Macaca fascicularis: one gene and its partners. The protein of the gene in region 2 purifies or fractionates together with the protein of the main gene of each other region. This does not show direct contact. Links are inferred from orthologs where the notes say so. Each region holds a gene or a part of one and is shown on either strand. Other genes may lie near its edges. The genes, in order: STYX, FBXL12 and CUL1.

Region 1 (6,232 bases), on a different chromosome or scaffold from region 2:
GGATTTTTGAATATTATTTAAAAATAGTACCCATACTTGGTGTTCATAAGATCATCTTCTTAAATAAAACATGGATGTGTGGGTATGTCTATACTCCTCCTTCCAGATAGTATTTACCTATTCTTCATTTACTGTGATTAAGCTCATTGTTGATTAATTGAAAATATACATGCACATCCATAACGTTTTAAAGAGTATGATTCAATGGAATATTTGCTAATATGTGACTTAGTTTTCTTGGTTTATGTAAGATGATCGGTCCCTGTTGAGGATGTGAAGGTCTGGACTCTCTTCCAGGAAATATTATAACATACACACAATTTTGCATATACTGTACTTTCAGGAAATGTATTGTTTCCCAGGCTCATCCAAGGACTCTTTAGGTATCTATGGATACCTGGCTAACAGTGTATGATGTAGGGGATGTAGGAGTGTCAGAAATGTTCAAAACAAGATTTCTGTTACCTATACATGATTCTTTCTCGTATCATCTGGCAATAAAACTATAACAGTACACAAAGGAATCATTAGGCATAAATAGTTATTAAAGATGCTGGTGAAAAGAAAAGACAACTTCAGTTTCATAAACACTAAAGAACCAAAAATACATGACCTAGCTAATGACACAATAATTCTTCAAATTAAAAACTTCCTAGCAGGATATTATGTGCCTTTTTTTAATTTTAAAAGATGAAGAACAGTTAAAATAGTGATAGAGAAAATGGAGTGCTCAAGTTAGCCATCTAATACTCAAATTATACAGTTCTGTTTCTATGTGTTGGCAGTGCATTTTATGTGACAATATAAAAAGAATGTCAGGGGAGGTTTAAGTCAAATATCTACGTGATCTTTTCACTTATAATTTGCATTTAGTTAATGAGTAACTTGCCTTTTACCTTTGTGGCAGTGGTTGTTTTTTAAAGAATCAATTTGGTGTACAAATCCTTTCTTTTCTGTTTTTGAGAGAGTTTTGCTCTTGTTGTCCAGACTGGAGGGCAATGGCACTATCTCGGCTCACTGCAACCTCTGCATCCCGGGTTTAAGTGGTTCTCCTGCCTCAGCCTTCCAAATAGCTGGGATTACAGGCATAGGCCACCACACCCAGCTAATTTTTGTATTTTTAGTAGAGACGGGGTTTCTCCATGTTGGTCAGGCTGGTCTCAAACTCCCGACCTCAGGTGATCCGCCCACTTCAGCCTCCCAAAGTGCTGGGATTACAGGCGTGAGCCGCCGTGCCTGGTCCAAATCTTTTCATTGTGGGTTTACAGGCAAACGCCACCACGCCCAGGGAATTAAAAAAAGAAAGTTTTTGGGGGGGGGTGTCTTACTATTTTGCCCAGGCTGGCAAATTCCTTTTAAAATATATTAAAAGCCATGTGGTTTATTAATTTTATTTCAAAATATAATAATTAGTGGAATAAGCTTTACAGTATTATACACAATTTACTAAGTCAGCTATCAGTTCCTTTTTCTGATTTTTTTCAGTTGTCATTCTTGATATTTTCTAGGTAATCTAAACGGAGTCGTATTTTCAAGTACTCTTAAAATACTTTTAAGATTGTTAAAGCATTGAGCCGTTTAATTCTTTGCTTAAAGGTGATGGGTGTTTCATTTTCTGTATGGCACTACGTGATTTTAAATCGAACTCTTCATTTGGTTATAAACTCAGCATAGATTGTGCAGAATTTTGAGAGGGGAGAAACTATAGCTTTCCTTTCGGATGCCACTATCTGGTGGGTAGCAGGTTTTGCCTGTCTGTTCTTACGTTAAAGAAGGGCTCTACGTCCTGTCTGGAAAGGGCGGAGCTGGCTCGGACCGCCCCACTGCCTTTCCCAGGACCTTCACTCGTCCTGTCCCACCGCAGCCCCGCCTCCTCCACGCCGGGTGAGCCGTGGCCTAGCAGCAACCGAGGCTCCGCTCCCCCACCCCCCGGCGTCTGCGCTCTAGCGAAGGGGCGGAGCAGGGGTGGTGGCGCGCTGACACCTGGCGGCGGCGGAGGGCGGGCAGAAGGCGAACGTGGGCTGGGATTGGCTGAGGCGGCGCGGGTGGAGGGGGCGGGAGGGAGGCGGCGAGACGGTTGTCGGGCTGGTACCCGTGCTGGATCCTGGGCGGCCTGAGGGTTGCGGAGACTTTAGGGGAGGGAGACGGCAGCGGCATGGCGGCCGGGTGTAAAACGCCCGACCCTCCTCTTATCCGTCTTCGCCGCCGCCGCCGCTGGAGTCACTGGGACCCTCTAGTCTGCGTGTGTTAGTTTAAGCCCGCCGCCCGCCTGTGAGCCCTCCGCTCCGCCGGCCCTCCTTCCTTCCGCCGCCGCAGCCAGCCCAAGGGTCGGCCGGCTGTGTAACACTCTCCCACCCCACCCACCAGCCCGCGGGCCAGCACCATGGAGGACATGAAGCTGGAGTTCCCTTCCCTTCCACAGTGCAAGGAAGACGCAGAGGTGAGTCGGCCCCGTGGCTGCCATGCACAGGCCTCTCCCTGTGGCTCCGGCCGAGGGGCGATCCCAGTCCCCAACCGTCTTAGCCCCCACCTGCGCGGGCGCCCTGCCTCCTGAGGGCGTCCCGGGACCTCTGAGGCCGAGCAGTCGGCTCCAATCCCGACTGAGTTTCTCGTCCTTTCCAGACCCCGCGGAGGGACAGCGTTTGGTGTACTTACATTTGAGAAGAGGAAAAGCAATCCCTGAGTCCCTAGGCTTGGTTGGCATCCAGGACTGACCTGGAGTAAGATTCCTCTTTTATTGTCAAAGTAACTTGAAAGCGAAGTTGGTTTTAATCTCCTTTTGAGGAATGTCTGTGGTGTAAACGATTCACTTGTGGGACACATGGCCCCACATGCGGAGTAGACTCGGCGCCTGAAGTTTGGAAGCGCGCCTTCGAAAAGTTTCCCAAAGTTTTTTATTTTTAGACAAAGCTATGACCCGCACAATAAAGTGTCTCAAAGCTAGCTCATCTGAATCTGATAACTCTTAATCAGAAATCTCGACCTTTGGAGGAAAATTAATATTGAAAGTAAAATTCTATATACCTTTTCTCCTGGTTTCTAATTCGTGGCTATTTTTACTCCACCTTACATCCCTGCCTGCTGTTTCTATTCGGATTTTATTTTTCATCTGTTGCTAGTTTAACGTTTAACGACATTGCAGACTACTAAATTAGAATTTTCTGGAGGCTAAATTAACAAGACGAAGATACTCAGCTATGCTTTAGTAGGATTAAGAAAGAAAATGTAACATCGCTAGTTAAAAATACCTTTAAAGTAGTTGGGAAAAATGAAGCCCTATTTTTAGGAGACCATTCAGTTTATTCCGAATATTTATTCTATTGAGTATCTTCATTTGAGGTTCTTTTTTTTCTTGAGACGGAGTCTTGCTCTGTCACCAGGCTGGAGTGCTATGTGGTGCGATGTCGGTTCACTGCAACCTCCGCCTTCCGGGTTCAAGCGATTCTCTTGCCTCAGCCTCCCGAGTAGCTGGAACTACAGGCGCGCACCACCACGCCCAGCTAATTTTTGTATTTTTAGGGGAGACGGGTTTCACCATTTTGGCCAGGGCGGTCTCGATCTCTGGACCTTGTGATCCGCCCGCCTCGGTTTCCCAAAGTGCTGGGATTGCAGGTGTGAGCCACCGCGCCCGGCCTAGGTTCACATTTTTGTTTGGAGGGCGCTCTTGTGGTATTGATGCTTGACAATTACATTTGTTTTAAGAGTAGAGACTTTGTGACTGGGTATCACCATTGCAAAATGGAGTGCAGTGGTGCGATCTCAGTTCACTGCAGTCTCGAACTCCCATGCCCAAGCCATCCTTTGACCTCAGCCTCTCGAGTAGCTGGAACCACACCTGGCTTATTTTTATTTTATTTTTTTGTAGCGATAGGGTTGTTCCTTAGGCTGGTCTTGAACTCTTGGCCTCAAGATCCTCCCGCCTTGTCCTCCCAAAGTGTTAGGATTACAGGTGTGAGCCACCGCACCTGGCCCAAAACTATACTCTTTATTTTTTTTATTTTTTTATTTTTTTGAGACAGAGTTTCACTCTTGTTGCCCCAGGCTGGAGTGCAATGGCGCTCTCTCAGCCCACTGCAGCCTCCCCCTCGGGTCCTGGTTCAAGCAAGCAATTCTCCTGCCTCAGCCTCCCGAGTAGCTGGGACTACAGGCACCCGCTACCACGCCTGGCTAATTTTTTTTGTATTTTTAGTAGAGACGGGGTTTCGCCGTGTTGGCCAGGATGGTCTCAAACTCCTGACCTTGTGATCCGCCCGCCTTGGCCTCCCAAAGTGCTGGGATTACAGGCGTGAGCCACCGTGCCCGGCCAATTATACTCTTAAATAAGAAAAAAAGAGGTCATATTTAGGCTAGTTATAAAAATGAATTTATACTTAACATGCAATAATGTGAATGAAGAGTATGATTTTGTTTATTTGTTTGTTTATTTATTTATTTATTGAGACGGAGTTTCGCTCTTGTTGCCTAGGCTGGAATGCAGTGGCGCGATTTCCGCTCACCGCAACCTCCGCCTCCCGGGTTCAAAAGATTCTCCTGCCTCAGCTCCCTGAGTAGCTGGGATTACAGGTGCCCGCCACCACGCCCGTTTAATTTTTGTATTTTTAGTAGAGACGAGGTTTCACCATGTTGGCCATACTAGTCTCAGACACCTGACCTCAAGTGATCCGCCTACCTCAGCCTCCCAAAGGGCTGGGATTACAGGCTTGAGCTACCGTGAAGGAGTATACTTTTATATCCTCAAAATGATACAGTAATTTCAGCACTTAACTGCAAGCAACCTTACAAATAATGTAGAGGAGTCCCACATTCCAGGTGAAGAAATTGTACCTTACTGAAAATAAGTGATGTGCCAAATTAACAACACAGTAGCACAAAACACCAGGAGGACCTTGGCCTCCTAATTTATTGTTCTTTTTAATACACTTCAATTCTTCCCTGCCCTAATCTTAAAAATTCTAGTTTAAAAATTTCCCAGACTTTGCATTTAATCTGGTACTGTATATATCATTATGTATGCCTTATTCCTGCAAAACTGATAAATTCTTGGTGGGAATATACCTGTCTTTTCTGTGTGGGACTGTTGAAAACATACTCTTTTTCTGTGCTGCCAGATGTGTGGGGATTTTTCCATACCAAGCAGTTTTCCAGCAGGCATGAACTGAATGTCCCATAATTCAGTTCTGTCACGTATGTACCTAAAGTTAGTCAGATCCCACAGGTTAATGGCTCAGTCCCACAAGGGTGCCCCCAACCTCAGATGGTAACCACAAGTAGTAGGTTGTCACCTATACACTCCTGACTGACTGGAAATCAGGGTTCCCGTTACTCCCTCCTTGGTTCAGTTAACTTGCTAGAGTGGTTTACAGGACTCAAGGAAGTACATTTACGGGTTTATTATAAAGGATATTACAAAAGATCCAGTGAACAGACAGAAGGAAGAGATGAATAGGGCAAGGTATGGGGGAAGGGGCACAACACCATCCCCAGTATCACCAGTGAAGAGCCGTGATTGCAAGTTGTCCAGGTGCTTGGCGTTTTGAACAAAGAATTGGACAAAACTCCCAGCAAAGCAAAGACAGAATGAAGCAACAAAAGAACAAAAACAGGGATTTATTGAAAACAAAAGTACACTCCACAGTGTGGCAGCCGCCCTAGCAGCCCCACGCTTTACAGAATGTTCTTGGGTCCAAATACCCCCTAGAAGTTTCCCATTGGCCACTCCAAGCTTACCTCATGTAAATGAAGAGATGGCTTGCAGTTGGCCTGATTGGTTGCCAAACCCCCCACCTCCCGTCAGTCGGCTTCGTTGTGGACAGCAACCATTCAGTGGCTAGAGTGAAGTTACAAAGTTGCAAAGGAAGATTCCACCGGCAATCAGTCTTGATTTGTAGAGGACAGCCGATTTTCCATCTACTGTGCAGAAAAGGTGGGGGGTGGTTGCAACAGGAGTAGCCTCTGGTCCTTTTGTTACTTAGGCGTGGAAAGTTAGGGTTTTCCTTTCAATTTAGTTCTGGGAAGTCAGAGTGAAACAGCCTTAGATTCCCTGCCTCCTACTTGCCTCACTAGCACCTCCAGTGTTTCCATCCAGAAGCTCAACAAATCTTATCAACGGTTTTTACAGAACTTCATCTCCAGCCCCTCCCATAAAGGTGTGTGTGTGTGAGGCTGAGAGTGCAACCCTCTAGTCAAATGGTCTTTCTGGTGACTGGCCCCACCCTAAATCACTTCATTAGCA
Region 2 (6,158 bases):
AGGTGGTAGATCACCTGAGGTCAGGAGTTCGAGACCAGCTTGGGCAACATTGCAAAACCCCGTCTCTACTAAAAATTAAAAAATTAGCCAGGTGTGGTGGCACACGTCTGTAGTTTCAGCTACCTGGGAGGTTGAGGCACAAGAATCACATGAACTTGGGAGATGGAGGTTGCAGTGAGCGAGATCACACTACACTCCAGCCTGGGGGACAGCCTGGGACTCTCTCTCAAAAAAAGAAAAAAAAGGTCGGGCACAGTGGCTCACACCTGTAATCCCACTACTTTGGGAGGCCGAGGCGGGCAGATCACCTATCACCTGAGGTCAGGAGTTCAAAACCAGCCTGACCAACATGGTGAAACCCCATTTCTTCTCAAAATACAAAATTAGCTGGGCTTGGTGGCACATGCCTTAAATCCCAGCTACTTGGAAGGCTGAGGCAGGAGAATCGATTGAACCCGGGAGGCGGAGGTTGCAGGGAGCCAAGATTGCGCCATTGCACTCCAGCCTGGGCAACGAGAGCAAAACTCTGTGTCAAAATAATAAAGAAAAGAAAATAAATTAAAAAAAAATAAAGTGGATCCTGGTACAAGGTTTGCAAGGTATGTAAGAATGTCTCCATTATTTTAAATGAACTCTTAAGTTCTGAGGAAACCCAGGCGGGGTCTTAAGGACTTTGTTTTACCTTCTAGCTTTTGCTTGAAGGCCCCACTTTCTCCAGGTCTTTAATTTTTTTCTTTTTTTTTTTTTTTTTGAGACGGAGTCTTGCTTTGTCGCCCAGGCTGGAATGCAGTGGTGCGATCTCGGCTCACTGCAAGCTCCGCCTCCTGGGTTCACGCTATTCTCCTGCCTCAGCCTCCCGAGTAGCTACACATTCATCAGAGCTACTGCAAGGTATTGGTGAAGACTCACTGCTGTGGTTGCACATGGAGACCTGGCCTGCTGTAGGAAGATCTGTTCTCAGAGCTGCTTTCCTTGGCAGGGGGCGGGAGGGATACTTTCCAGAAGGTGAAGTTTTGGGTCAAGACCCAAGGAGCAAGCTGGGCAGGCCCCTTCTACACTCTTGTTTCCTGGGTTCCTGGTCCAGAGGAAGGCTTGTATGTGGGTTTCTTTTTCTCTCACCTGACTACTTCCCTCCCTCTAGCCCTGTATGCTGGTGGTGCAGGAACCCCCTGTAACTGAGTGGGGATGGCGGGGAAGGGACATCTGGGTTCTGCCAAACTTAAAGGAACTCCCCTTCCCCTGCCAGAGTTCACAAGAAGGGAAGTAATCTTAGGGGTGGAGGCAGGTGCATAGGAGTTTCCTCCCCCCACTATCTGAGCACCTCAGCAGAGCTGGGGTGCACAAGTCCCATCTGCCACCCCAGAATTCAGTCTGATAATAGGAAGGCAACAAGCCAAGAAGACACACATAATGCAGCCATAAAAAAGAATGCAAGCAGCTGGGCATGGTGGCTCATGCCTGTAATCCTAGCACTTTGGGAGGCTGAAGCAGGAAGAACCTCTTGAGCCCAGGAGTTGAAGACCAGCCTGAGCAACGTGGCAAAACCCCGGCTCTACAAAAAAATACAAAAATTAGCCAGGCGTGGTGGCTCACACATGTAATCCCAGCATTCTGGGAAGCTGAGGCAGGTGGATCACTTGAGGTCAGAAGTTCGAGACCAGCCTGGCCAATATAGTGAAACCTCATCTCTAAAAATACAAAAATTAGCCGGACATAATGGCTGGCGCCTGTAGTCCCAGCTACCCCGGAGGCTGAGGCAGGAGAATCACTTGAACCTGGGAGGCGGAGGTTGCAGTGAGCCGAGATTGTGCCACTGCACTCCAGCCTGGGTGACAGAGCAAGACTTCATCTCAAAAAACGAAACAAAAATTGGCCGGGCGTGTTGGCATGCCCCTACAGTCCCAGCTACTCGGGAGATTGAGGTGGAAGGATCACTTGAGCCCCAGAGGTTAAGGCTGCAGTGAGCTGTAATTTCGCCACTGCACTCCAGACTGGGTGACAGAGCGAGACCTTGTCTCAAAATTAAAAAAAAAAAGAAAGAAAAGATAATGAAATCATGTCCTTTGCAGTCCCGACTACGTCTTCTCGGCTAGGTCCTTGTCGCCATCCCCGCCCCCAGGGTCTCGTCCCGCCCCAGCCTCGCCTTCCAGCGGTTGTCCGGTCCTCTCCCGGCCCCGCAAGCCTCGTCCCGCCCTAGCCACACCTTCCAAGCGTGGTTCTCGTCTGCAGCCCCACCTAGGCCTCGCCCCGGCTTCCGGGCTTGGTCCTCGTCTCTAGCCCCGCCCCCTAACCTCGCCCCAGCCCCGCCTTCCGGACTTGGGTCCGGTCTCTGGCTCCGTCCCTGAGCCTTGCCCAACTCCAGCCACGCCTTCCAGGCTCGGTCCTCGTCTCTAGCACCACCTCCGATACTCGCCCCACCCCAGCCACGCCTTTCGGACTTGGTCCTCGTCTCTAGCTCCGCCCCCGAGCTTCGCCTCACTCCAGCCCCGCCTTGCGGACTTGGTCTTAGTTCCCAGTCGCGGCCAAATCACGCCTCAGCCACGTCCCGCAAGACTCTCACTGCCTCAGTCACGCTTTCCAGTCTGGTTTCTGGTCCCCATCCGCGGCTGGTCCGGCCCTGGGACCCAATCACTGCCCAGCGAAAGGAAAGTCAAAGTCCTCTACCGGCTACGGGAAGGTCGCGGCCGCCGCCCTGTCAGCCGCCTCGGGGCCCCCGCGGGGACCCCCTCGGGTCTCCTTAACCGGAAGCGGAAGTGCGTGTCGGCGGGATCATGGCGACTTTGGTCGAACTGCCGGACTCAGTCCTGCTTGAGATCTTCTCTTACCTCCCGGTACGGGACCGGATCCGCATCTCCAGGTGCGGCCCCGCCTCCGGGGGGGAAGGGCCGGGCGGAGGGCGCACCTGGGACCTGGAGATGCGATGTGGCCTGGGGCTGGGGTCGTTCTAACCGCGCGTCCCCTCCCCCAGGGTCTGTCACCGCTGGAAGAGGCTGGTGGACGACCGGTGGCTGTGGCGACATGTCGACCTGACGCTCTACACGGTAGGCATGGCTGGCCAGGCGGGCCTGGGCCGCGGTCGCGGTGCCCGGACCCGAAAGACCACCTCTCCCACCCTGGGACAGGTTGTCGGTACCCGGGCTGGGGATTTAGAGCCAGGTAGTCCTGGGCCTATCTCGGCATCATCGCTTACCTGCTCCTATTCTACCTCAGGGCCTCAATTTCCCCATCCCTGCAATGGGGATAAAGGACAGTACCTGCCTCACGGGACTATTGTGGGACTTCACTGAGATCATGCAGGGAAAGGGCTTAGAACAGTCTGGCACATATTTATCATTCGATAAATGCTAATTTATGACTATGTTATCAAGTTTTTGTTTTGTTTTTGAGACGGGGGTCTCGCTCTGCTGCTCAGGCTGGAGTGCAGTGGTGCGATTGTAGCCTCGACCTCCCAAACTCAAGCGATCCTCTCATGTCAGCCTCTTGAGTAGCTGGGACCACAGGCGCTCACCACTATACCCGCTAATCTTTTATTTTTTGTGGAGACAGAGTCTCACTATGTTGCCCAGGCTGGTCTCGAACTCCTGGGCTCAAGTGATCCTCCCGACTTAGCCTCCCAAAGTGCTCAGATTACAGGCATGAGCCACCGCAACTGGCCCACCCAAAACATTTAGAGATATATTTGTTACCCTTTTTGAAACTATTTTCATAGATAACTGCTATTATAAAGTGGATTTGCACCCTTCCTTTTACCTTACTTCATATGTGTGTGTCCATAAACAATTATAGTATTAGTAATGTATTTCTAAACTTCAGGTAATGCTGTTCTACTATTTAGATAGTGTTCTACTTTTAGACTATTTTACTGTATATATCCATCTGTAACTCCCTTTAATACAGTATTGCTTTTGAGGTTATTTTTTTAAGGACAGTCTTGCTATGTTGCTCAGGATGGTCTCGAACTCTTGGACTCAAGTTGTCTCCCACCTCAAGTCTCCTGGAGTGTTGGGGTTACAGGTGTGAGCCACAGCGCCTGGCCTGATATTATGAAACTTAGAGTATTCTCAGTCATTGGTTTTGCAAGGAAAAGTTGATTCATCCATTGGTTTTGTGTGCATTTATGCTCTGCAGTTTATCTTTCTGTAATTTATTTTTTTGAGATGGATCTCACTCTGTAACCCAGGCTGGGGTGCAGTGGCGAAATGATAGCACACTGCAGCCTCAACCTCCGGGGCTCAAGCGATCTTCCTGCCTCAGCTTCCTGAGAAGATTCATTAGAACATGTTTCTTTCTCTCTTGGTTCATGATATAGTTTGGCTGTGTCCCCAACCAAATCTCAACTTCTCAATTTCTAAGCAGCAAAGCATTCAAGAGGTGACTTGGGTACTGTTAAAAGTATTCAGTTTTCTAAGGGAAGCAGAGCTGAAAAGTTTGGAAATTTGTAGCCTGACTATGTGATAGAAAAGAAAAACCCATTTTCTAGGGAGAAATTCAAGCCAGCTGTAGAAATTTACATAAGTAGCAAGGAGTCTAATGGGCTATAGGGAAAATGTCTCCAGGCCATGTCAGAGACCTTCATGGCATTCCCCTCTCATCTCAGGCCTGGAAGCCCAGGAGGGAAAAGTGGTTTCCTGGGCCGGGCCCAGGGCCCCCATGCTGCATGCACCCTGGGACTTGGTGCCCTGTGTCCTAGCCGCTCCAGCTGTGGCTGAAAGGGGCCAATGTATAACTCAGGCTGTGGCCTCAGAGGGTGGAAGCCCCAAGTCTTGGCAACTTCCACGTGATCTTGAGCCTGCTGGTGCACAGAAGCCAAGAACTGAGGTACGGGGCCGTGCACGGTGGCTCACGCCTATAATCCCAGCACTTTGGGATGCCAAGGCAGGCAGATCACTTGAGGTCAGGAGTTTGAGACCAGCCTGGCCAACATGGTGAAACTCCATCTCTACTAAACATACCACAAATGCGTGGTGGCACATGCTTGTAATCCTAGCTACTTGCGAGGCTGAGGCAGGAGAATCGCTTGAACCCGGGAGGCAGAGGTTGCAGTGAGTCGAGATCATGCCATTACACTCCAGCCTGGGTGACAAGAGCGAAACTCCATCTCAAAAAAAAAAAAAAAAGAAAAAAAAAAGAATTGAAGTTTGGGAACTTCTGCCTAGATTTCAGAAGATGTATGAAAACGCCTGGATGTCCAGGCAAAAGTTTGCTACAGGGGTGGGGCCCTCATGGAGAGCCTCTGCTAGGGCAGTGTGGAAGGGAAATGTGGGGTCAGAGCCCCCACACAGAGTCCCTACTGGGGCACTGCCTAGTGGAGCTGTGAGAAGAGGGCCACTGTCCTCCAGATTCCAGAATGGTAGATCCACCCACAGCTTGCACCATGCACCTGGAAAAGCTTCAGACACTGAACGCCAGCCTGTGAAAGCAGCCGGGAGGGAGGCTATACCTTGTAAAGCCACGAGGGGCCGAGCTGCCCAAGACCATGGGAACTCACCTCTTGCATCAGTGTGACCTGGATGTGAGACCTGGAATCAAAGGAGATCATTTTGGAGCTTTAAAATTTGACTGCCCCACTGGATTTCAGACTTGCATGGGGGAACCCCTTTGTTTTGTCCAGTTTCTCCCATTTGGAATGGCTGCATTTACCCGATACCTGTACCCCCATTGTATCTAGGAAGTAACTAGCTAGCTTTTGATTTTACAGGCTCATAGGTGGAAGGGACTTGCCTTGTCTCAGATGAGACTTTGGATTGTGGACTTTTGGATTAATGCTGAATGAGTTAAGACTTTGGAAGACTGTTGGGAAAGCATGATTGGTTGTGAAATGTGAGGACATGAGACTTGGAGGGACCAGGGGTGATATGATATGGATTGGCTGTGTCCCCACCCAAATCTCAACTTGAATTTTATTTCCCAGAATTCCCATATGTTGTGAGAGGGACCCAGGGGGAGATAATTGAATCATAGGGGCTGGTCTTTTGCATGCTATTCTTGTGATAGTGAATAAGTCTCACGAGATCTGATGGGTTTATCAGGGGTTTCCACTTTTGCTTCGTTCTCATTTTCTCAATTTTTTTTTTTTTTTTTGAGATGGAGTCTTGCTCTGTTGCCAGACTGGAGTGCAGTGGCACGATCTTGGCTCACTGCAACCTCTGCCTCCTGGG
Region 3 (5,436 bases), on a different chromosome or scaffold from region 2:
TTGGGCTTCAACACAGGGATTTTGGGGGCACACAGTTCAGTTTCTGGTAAGAGATAGAGACAAATTATTTCATCACTGTATTCTACCATAGTGCCAGGACGCCTTGCTCTTAGATGCTCATAAATTGTGCGTGAATTGTGTGTGCAAAGACTTCACTGGGCAACAGAGAGTTGTGGGGTTTTCGACAGTGTATTAATCCATGCATATTTGTACTGTAAAATAGAGCAAAATGGTACTAGCTTTGCTAGTAGTTCCATATAATTATATATTGTATACTCTGATTTCTCTAAGAGTCCCTTGTATACATTTATATTTTTGTACAAATTAATAAGACAGTCGTCTGCGTTCTTCTCAGCAAGCTTGCGGGTTCGAGTACACCTCTAAACTTCAGCGCATGTTTCAAGACATTGGCGTGAGCAAAGATCTGAATGAGCAGTTCAAAAAGCACTTGACAAATTCTGAACCCCTAGACTGTGAGTATCCGTGTGTCTGTCTGTTGTGTTTACAGGCAGAGTTCTTTGTAGCAAATGAAGAAATGACAAAGTATTAGGTGAAGATGGGAGGGACTTTGGTCAGAAATTCAAGAACTAAGAATCAGGAGATTCTTCCCAAATGCCCAACCCTCCTCCCCCAACTCCCGTGTGACATTAGGAGATGACAGCCCCTGAAGTGGTGTCAGCTGTACTGGGGCGAGGTCACCACCTATTGGGATCTGGGGAGGGACTCACAGGCGTGGTTTTGTCTTGTAGTAAACCTTAGCTTGAATCCATTCTAGCGTTTATTTTCATGTTCCCTTGGCCTGCATAGGTAACAGTCAAGCTAAAGACCTGTGGCTTCAGACTGGGATTAGGGATCAGTACAGGCAGATACAGGTGATTCGGTTCTCCAGGAGAGGCAGCTGGGCTGGTATGTTAAGGCCTCGCATAGTAGTAGAATGGCAGATTTATGCTTACGTCATCTTTTGATCATCTTTGTCTTTTTAAAGGAAAAATGGAGAGTTTTATTTTTCCCAAATCAGGATAACGATTCCATTGTAAACCTGGACAGTTTTGCCAGTGGGCTTTGTAACTATCTGTGAAGATGAAATTAGTGTTATAATTTATAGACCATGTGTGTCTTTTCACAGTAATAACTGAAACACACACTGTAGTGAAGTTAGCAGTTTTCTCCTGCTTGTAAGTTTCCATGAGTCTGGGGCTGTGATGATGCCGGGCCTGGCGAGCCCAGGCGTGGCTTGAGTGGACTCAGTGATTCAGGACTGAAAAGGAAAGCAAGGGAAGCAGGGCAGGCATGTGACAGCAGAATTCCGAGGTGGAAGCGAAATGAAGACTGTCACTCTTTGGAAGAAAAGAATATCTGGCTCTTGCGCTTTTTGCTAATTTTAATTGAATAAAATGTTCAATTCTTAATTTTATATTCAAGCAGGATTTTTATTTAATGTGCTTTTTAATAAAGAGCAACCTACATTCATCTGAAATGATTGAATTTTTCAATTTATAAACGAATTAATGTATTCCAGAATGTTCACTCTCCCCTCTCTTCCGCCCCACAGTGGACTTCAGCATTCAAGTGCTGAGCTCCGGGTCCTGGCCCTTCCAGCAGTCTTGTACGTTCGCCTTGCCGTCAGAGGTAAGGATGGGTTTATCTGCCGTCCCCTTAGTGCTAGGCGGAGGGTGGGGCGGGGCAGCCTTCGCTGTGGAAGGGGATAGGCCTGCAGACGGCCTTCCTGCCGGCTGGCTGCGTCACAGTGAACCGTGAGGCAGCACTCAGGGAAGAGCCCTGTGCGGTGGGGCAGGTCTGGATGTCTAAAGGTGGGCTGGCTGGCCCAACTCTACACACACACATGTTTCTTTATTGTAATTAGAGCCTAATTAGTTGTGTAATGAACACCTTGACGAACCTGCTGGTCTTGAAGTATGAACCTTTTTTAAGATCGTACCTTCCAGTGCTTAAAGCGCTTTACAAGAGAGGCAGACACCTGGCGTTCGTATTTTACTTTTATATAAGCACTGACTTTGTACTGTAGGCTTGGAACAGTGTGCTTTGCTTAGAAACACTGCCTGTAGGACGTGGTGAGATCTGTATTCCATATAATGCTGTCCTTTTATCTAGTTGGAACGTAGTTATCAGCGATTCACAGCTTTCTACGCCAGCCGCCACAGTGGCCGAAAATTGACGTGGTTATATCAGTTGTCTAAAGGAGAATTGGTAACTAACTGCTTCAAAAACAGATATACTTTGCAGGTAAGATCACGTTTGTGTCTTAAAATGTTTCTGTTCTAAATGAGCATAAGGTAAATTATAGAAATCATTAGCAGTTGACTCAGCAGCAGAATCTAGAATTCAGCTTCTGGTGAAATAGTGGCAAGTTTAAAGCATGGAGTTGTAAGAATCAGAGGAGCCAAATTCCAATTCTTTCTGGCTGGGGAACAAGTTATTTAATGATTGTGAGCCTCAGTTTTCTCCTCCATTCATGGGATGTTAGTGCTTATACTTGGGAATTGATGTGAAAGTTAAATAACGTATTTAGTTAAGTGTTTGGCACGGCTCCTGCCGGACACACATCAAGTGTTCAGGTAGTGACTTAAAACGCTGGAGTTGCGTGCATTTAATTATAACAGCTCTCCACCTTTGACAAAGCAGTTTCACATTAACAACAGTGCTTACAACGATATTGAGTATAACCTAGTTTATAACTGTGTAACTAAGAATATTTCCATTTTGTAGGTGAGAAAACTGAGGCTTGGGTTAATTGAAGTGAATTTCTCTGAATCCTAGCTTATCTGTAGCTGAGCCAAAATTTCAGTTAAAGTCTTTTCTCTTAAAGTTCAGGCTTGGCTGATGTGGTGGCTCATGCTGGTAATCCTAACACTTTGGGAGGCTGAGGCCAGAGAATCGCTTGAGGCTAGAAGTTTGAGACAAGCCTGGACAACACAGCAAGACCCCATCTCTATAAATTTTTTAAAGTAAAAAGAAAAAAAAACTCCAGGCTCTTTCTACTTCACTTTTGTACAGAGTGGGCTTCACAAGTAATGGCATAATTTAGTCTCTGAGAAGGTTTCACCAATAAACTTCTGAGAACAACTACAAGTCTATGTTTAAGTATTAAGAAACTTCAGAATGGGTTGTTCTGCAGGCTCAAGCTGCTCATTAATTTAAACTTTTCATAAATCTACTCTGACTTAAAATTGTTAAAATGCATAGTATTGTTACGCTGGCTCGAGAGGTCTTTATCAAGTTGAATGTTTCTTACTATATAATTGAAATTTTGTTTCATTTATCCCTAAATATTCGTAGAAGAATCCATGTGTTCGACTATAGTACCTGGAATTTCAGTGTCCAGTTTTTGACAAGGCGGAGGCTTTGCCTAGGGTGTGTCTGCCATGTTAAGGCAGCCAAGAGCGGGCCCAGTAGAAGACATTAGCAACACACTCATTCCCTTGCGTCTCTGTTCAAGGCCCTGGAAGCGCTGTTGTCTGTGGGCCCCCCTGAAACGGGCATGTGGCATTTTTTGTTTGTTTCTCTTTTCATTGACTGAGGTCTTGGCTGGGCGAGCAGTGGCTGACAGTCATGGGTCATTACTTGTTGCTGTCGATTCTGCAAGGAAAGAGGGAGAAGAGAGGAAGGAGTCTTCAGGGGCATTCATTCGCTCGCACACTCTCAGCAATCAGGAACCAGCGCGTGCTACCTGTCTTTTAGAAGATACTTTAGGGCCGGGCACAGTGGCTCAGCCTGTAATCCTAGCACTTTGGGAGGCCGAGGTGGGCAGATCACAAGGTCAGGGATTCGAGACCAGTCTGGCCAGCATGGTGAAACCCCATCTCTACTAAAAATACAAAAATTAGCTGGGCGTGGTGGTGCTCGCCTATAGTCCCAGCTACTCGGGAGGCCGAGGCAGGAGAATCCCTTGAACCTGGGAGGCAGAGGTTGCAATGAGCTGAGATTGTGCCACTGTACTCCAGCCTGGGTGACAGAGCAAGACTTTGTCTCAAAAAAAGAAAACCTTTAGTGCACTTGCCATTTCATACTTTACTTACTTTTTTCCTACTTTCATAGTAAAGTACTTAGGATTAGAAAACCAAATATAATTTGATATTTGTGTTGTTTTACATCAAGAATGTGCCAAAAGATAATACTTCTTAGCTCATGTGCCAAAAACAGATTTGGAGGTTGATGCTTAACATGTCCACATATACCAGGTGTGTGTATATGTGATTTTCGCTATAAAACGAGTGGGGACATACGTATCTATAGTATATATCCACATAGACAATACATTTTTTGAAAAAACTTCAAATTATTTTAATGTTTGAAAACATGGAAGATGAATGACTTTGGGAAGATGTCGCATTGTGGTGGCATTGCCACGTTTTATATTCCCTTTTAAATAGATCTGCGCTTTGTTTGTACTTGTTTAAAGAATGTGTTTCATAAATAAGTTCTTCAAACTTAGGCCATGTATTTTTGGAGGTGTTTCCATGCATTTAAGTTTTCCTTCTTTTTCTTTTCTATGGGGGGCCTCAAAGGCGTCTACATTCCAGATGGCCATCCTGCTTCAGTACAACACGGAGGATGCCTACACCGTGCAACAGCTGACCGACAGCACCCAGATTAAAATGGTATTCTCCTCTCAGCCTCTTCGTTCTGTCGAGCTGCCATTTCCTTGTTCTCGCGGATATTGTTAGGAAAGATAAGGGAGAGGATATGGGCATCTTTCATTTGAAATAGATGTTTGCCTCATGAATATGAATATGTTCTTATTCCAGGATTTTAATGTGCATTATGAAAGTCTTAATTTTAAAACTCAGTGTTGAGCCAGGCATGGTGGCACGTGCCTGTAGTCCCAGCTTCTTGGGAGGCTGAGGCGGGAGGATCACTTGAGCCTGGGAGGTCGAGGCTGCAGTGAGCTATGATCATGCCACTGTACTCCAGCCTGGGTGACGGAGACCCTGTCTCTTAAAAATAAAACTCAGTGTAACACACACATACTCCTCATCCATGCATTTCCCTCATTCGTTTAACCAGTTCTTAACTGTTTCTCCAGCTAGGCTTTTCTTACTAAGCTTAAATTTCCACCTTAGTATTATTTTTCCTGCTAGTCATGTTTTTTATTGAGATATATTTCAGATAATAAAATTTCACATAACATAAAAGTCATTTTAAAGTGTACACAGTGGTTTTCAGTATATTCACAAGCTTAGAGAACTACCACCATTATCCAATTCCAGAAGGTTTTATCATCCCAAAAAGAAACCTGCACCCATTAGCAGTAACTACCAACTAGCTCCCAGCCCCTGACAACCATTAATTTACTATCAATTTGCCTGCTCCAGACATTTCATATCAATGGAATCATATAACACATGACTTTCTGTGCCTGTTTTCTTTCCCTTAGTGTATACTGTTTGCAGGGTTTGCCTATGTTACAGCGTGTGT

The links.
Region 1: the proteins of FBXL12 (region 2) and STYX purify together in Homo sapiens (affinity purification with mass spectrometry; 4 studies listed by BioGRID and IntAct, with this or other methods). This does not show direct contact. The link is inferred for Macaca fascicularis from reciprocal best matches to the Homo sapiens genes FBXL12 and STYX.
Region 3: the proteins of FBXL12 (region 2) and CUL1 purify together in Homo sapiens (affinity purification with western blotting; 8 studies listed by BioGRID and IntAct, with this or other methods). This does not show direct contact. The link is inferred for Macaca fascicularis from reciprocal best matches to the Homo sapiens genes FBXL12 and CUL1.

The regions. Positions count from the first base shown.
Region 1 is NC_088381.1:120,556,991-120,563,222, forward strand, and holds the start of STYX (serine/threonine/tyrosine-interacting protein), read left to right. Parts: upstream 1-2,070; 5' UTR 2,071-2,383; coding exon 2,384-2,440; intron 2,441-6,232. UniProt on the Homo sapiens protein: Catalytically inactive phosphatase. Acts as a nuclear anchor for MAPK1/MAPK3 (ERK1/ERK2). Modulates cell-fate decisions and cell migration by spatiotemporal regulation of MAPK1/MAPK3 (ERK1/ERK2).
Region 2 is NC_088393.1:10,359,670-10,365,827, reverse strand, and holds the start of FBXL12 (F-box/LRR-repeat protein 12), read left to right. Parts: upstream 1-2,765; 5' UTR 2,766-2,771; coding exon 2,772-2,857; intron 2,858-2,968; coding exon 2,969-3,041; intron 3,042-6,158. UniProt on the Homo sapiens protein: Substrate-recognition component of the SCF (SKP1-CUL1-F-box protein)-type E3 ubiquitin ligase complex.
Region 3 is NC_088377.1:190,441,791-190,447,226, forward strand, and holds part of CUL1 (cullin-1), read left to right. Parts: intron 1-355; coding exon 356-473; intron 474-1,552; coding exon 1,553-1,629; intron 1,630-2,112; coding exon 2,113-2,244; intron 2,245-4,526; coding exon 4,527-4,619; intron 4,620-5,436. UniProt on the Homo sapiens protein: Core component of multiple cullin-RING-based SCF (SKP1-CUL1-F-box protein) E3 ubiquitin-protein ligase complexes, which mediate the ubiquitination of proteins involved in cell cycle progression, signal transduction and transcription.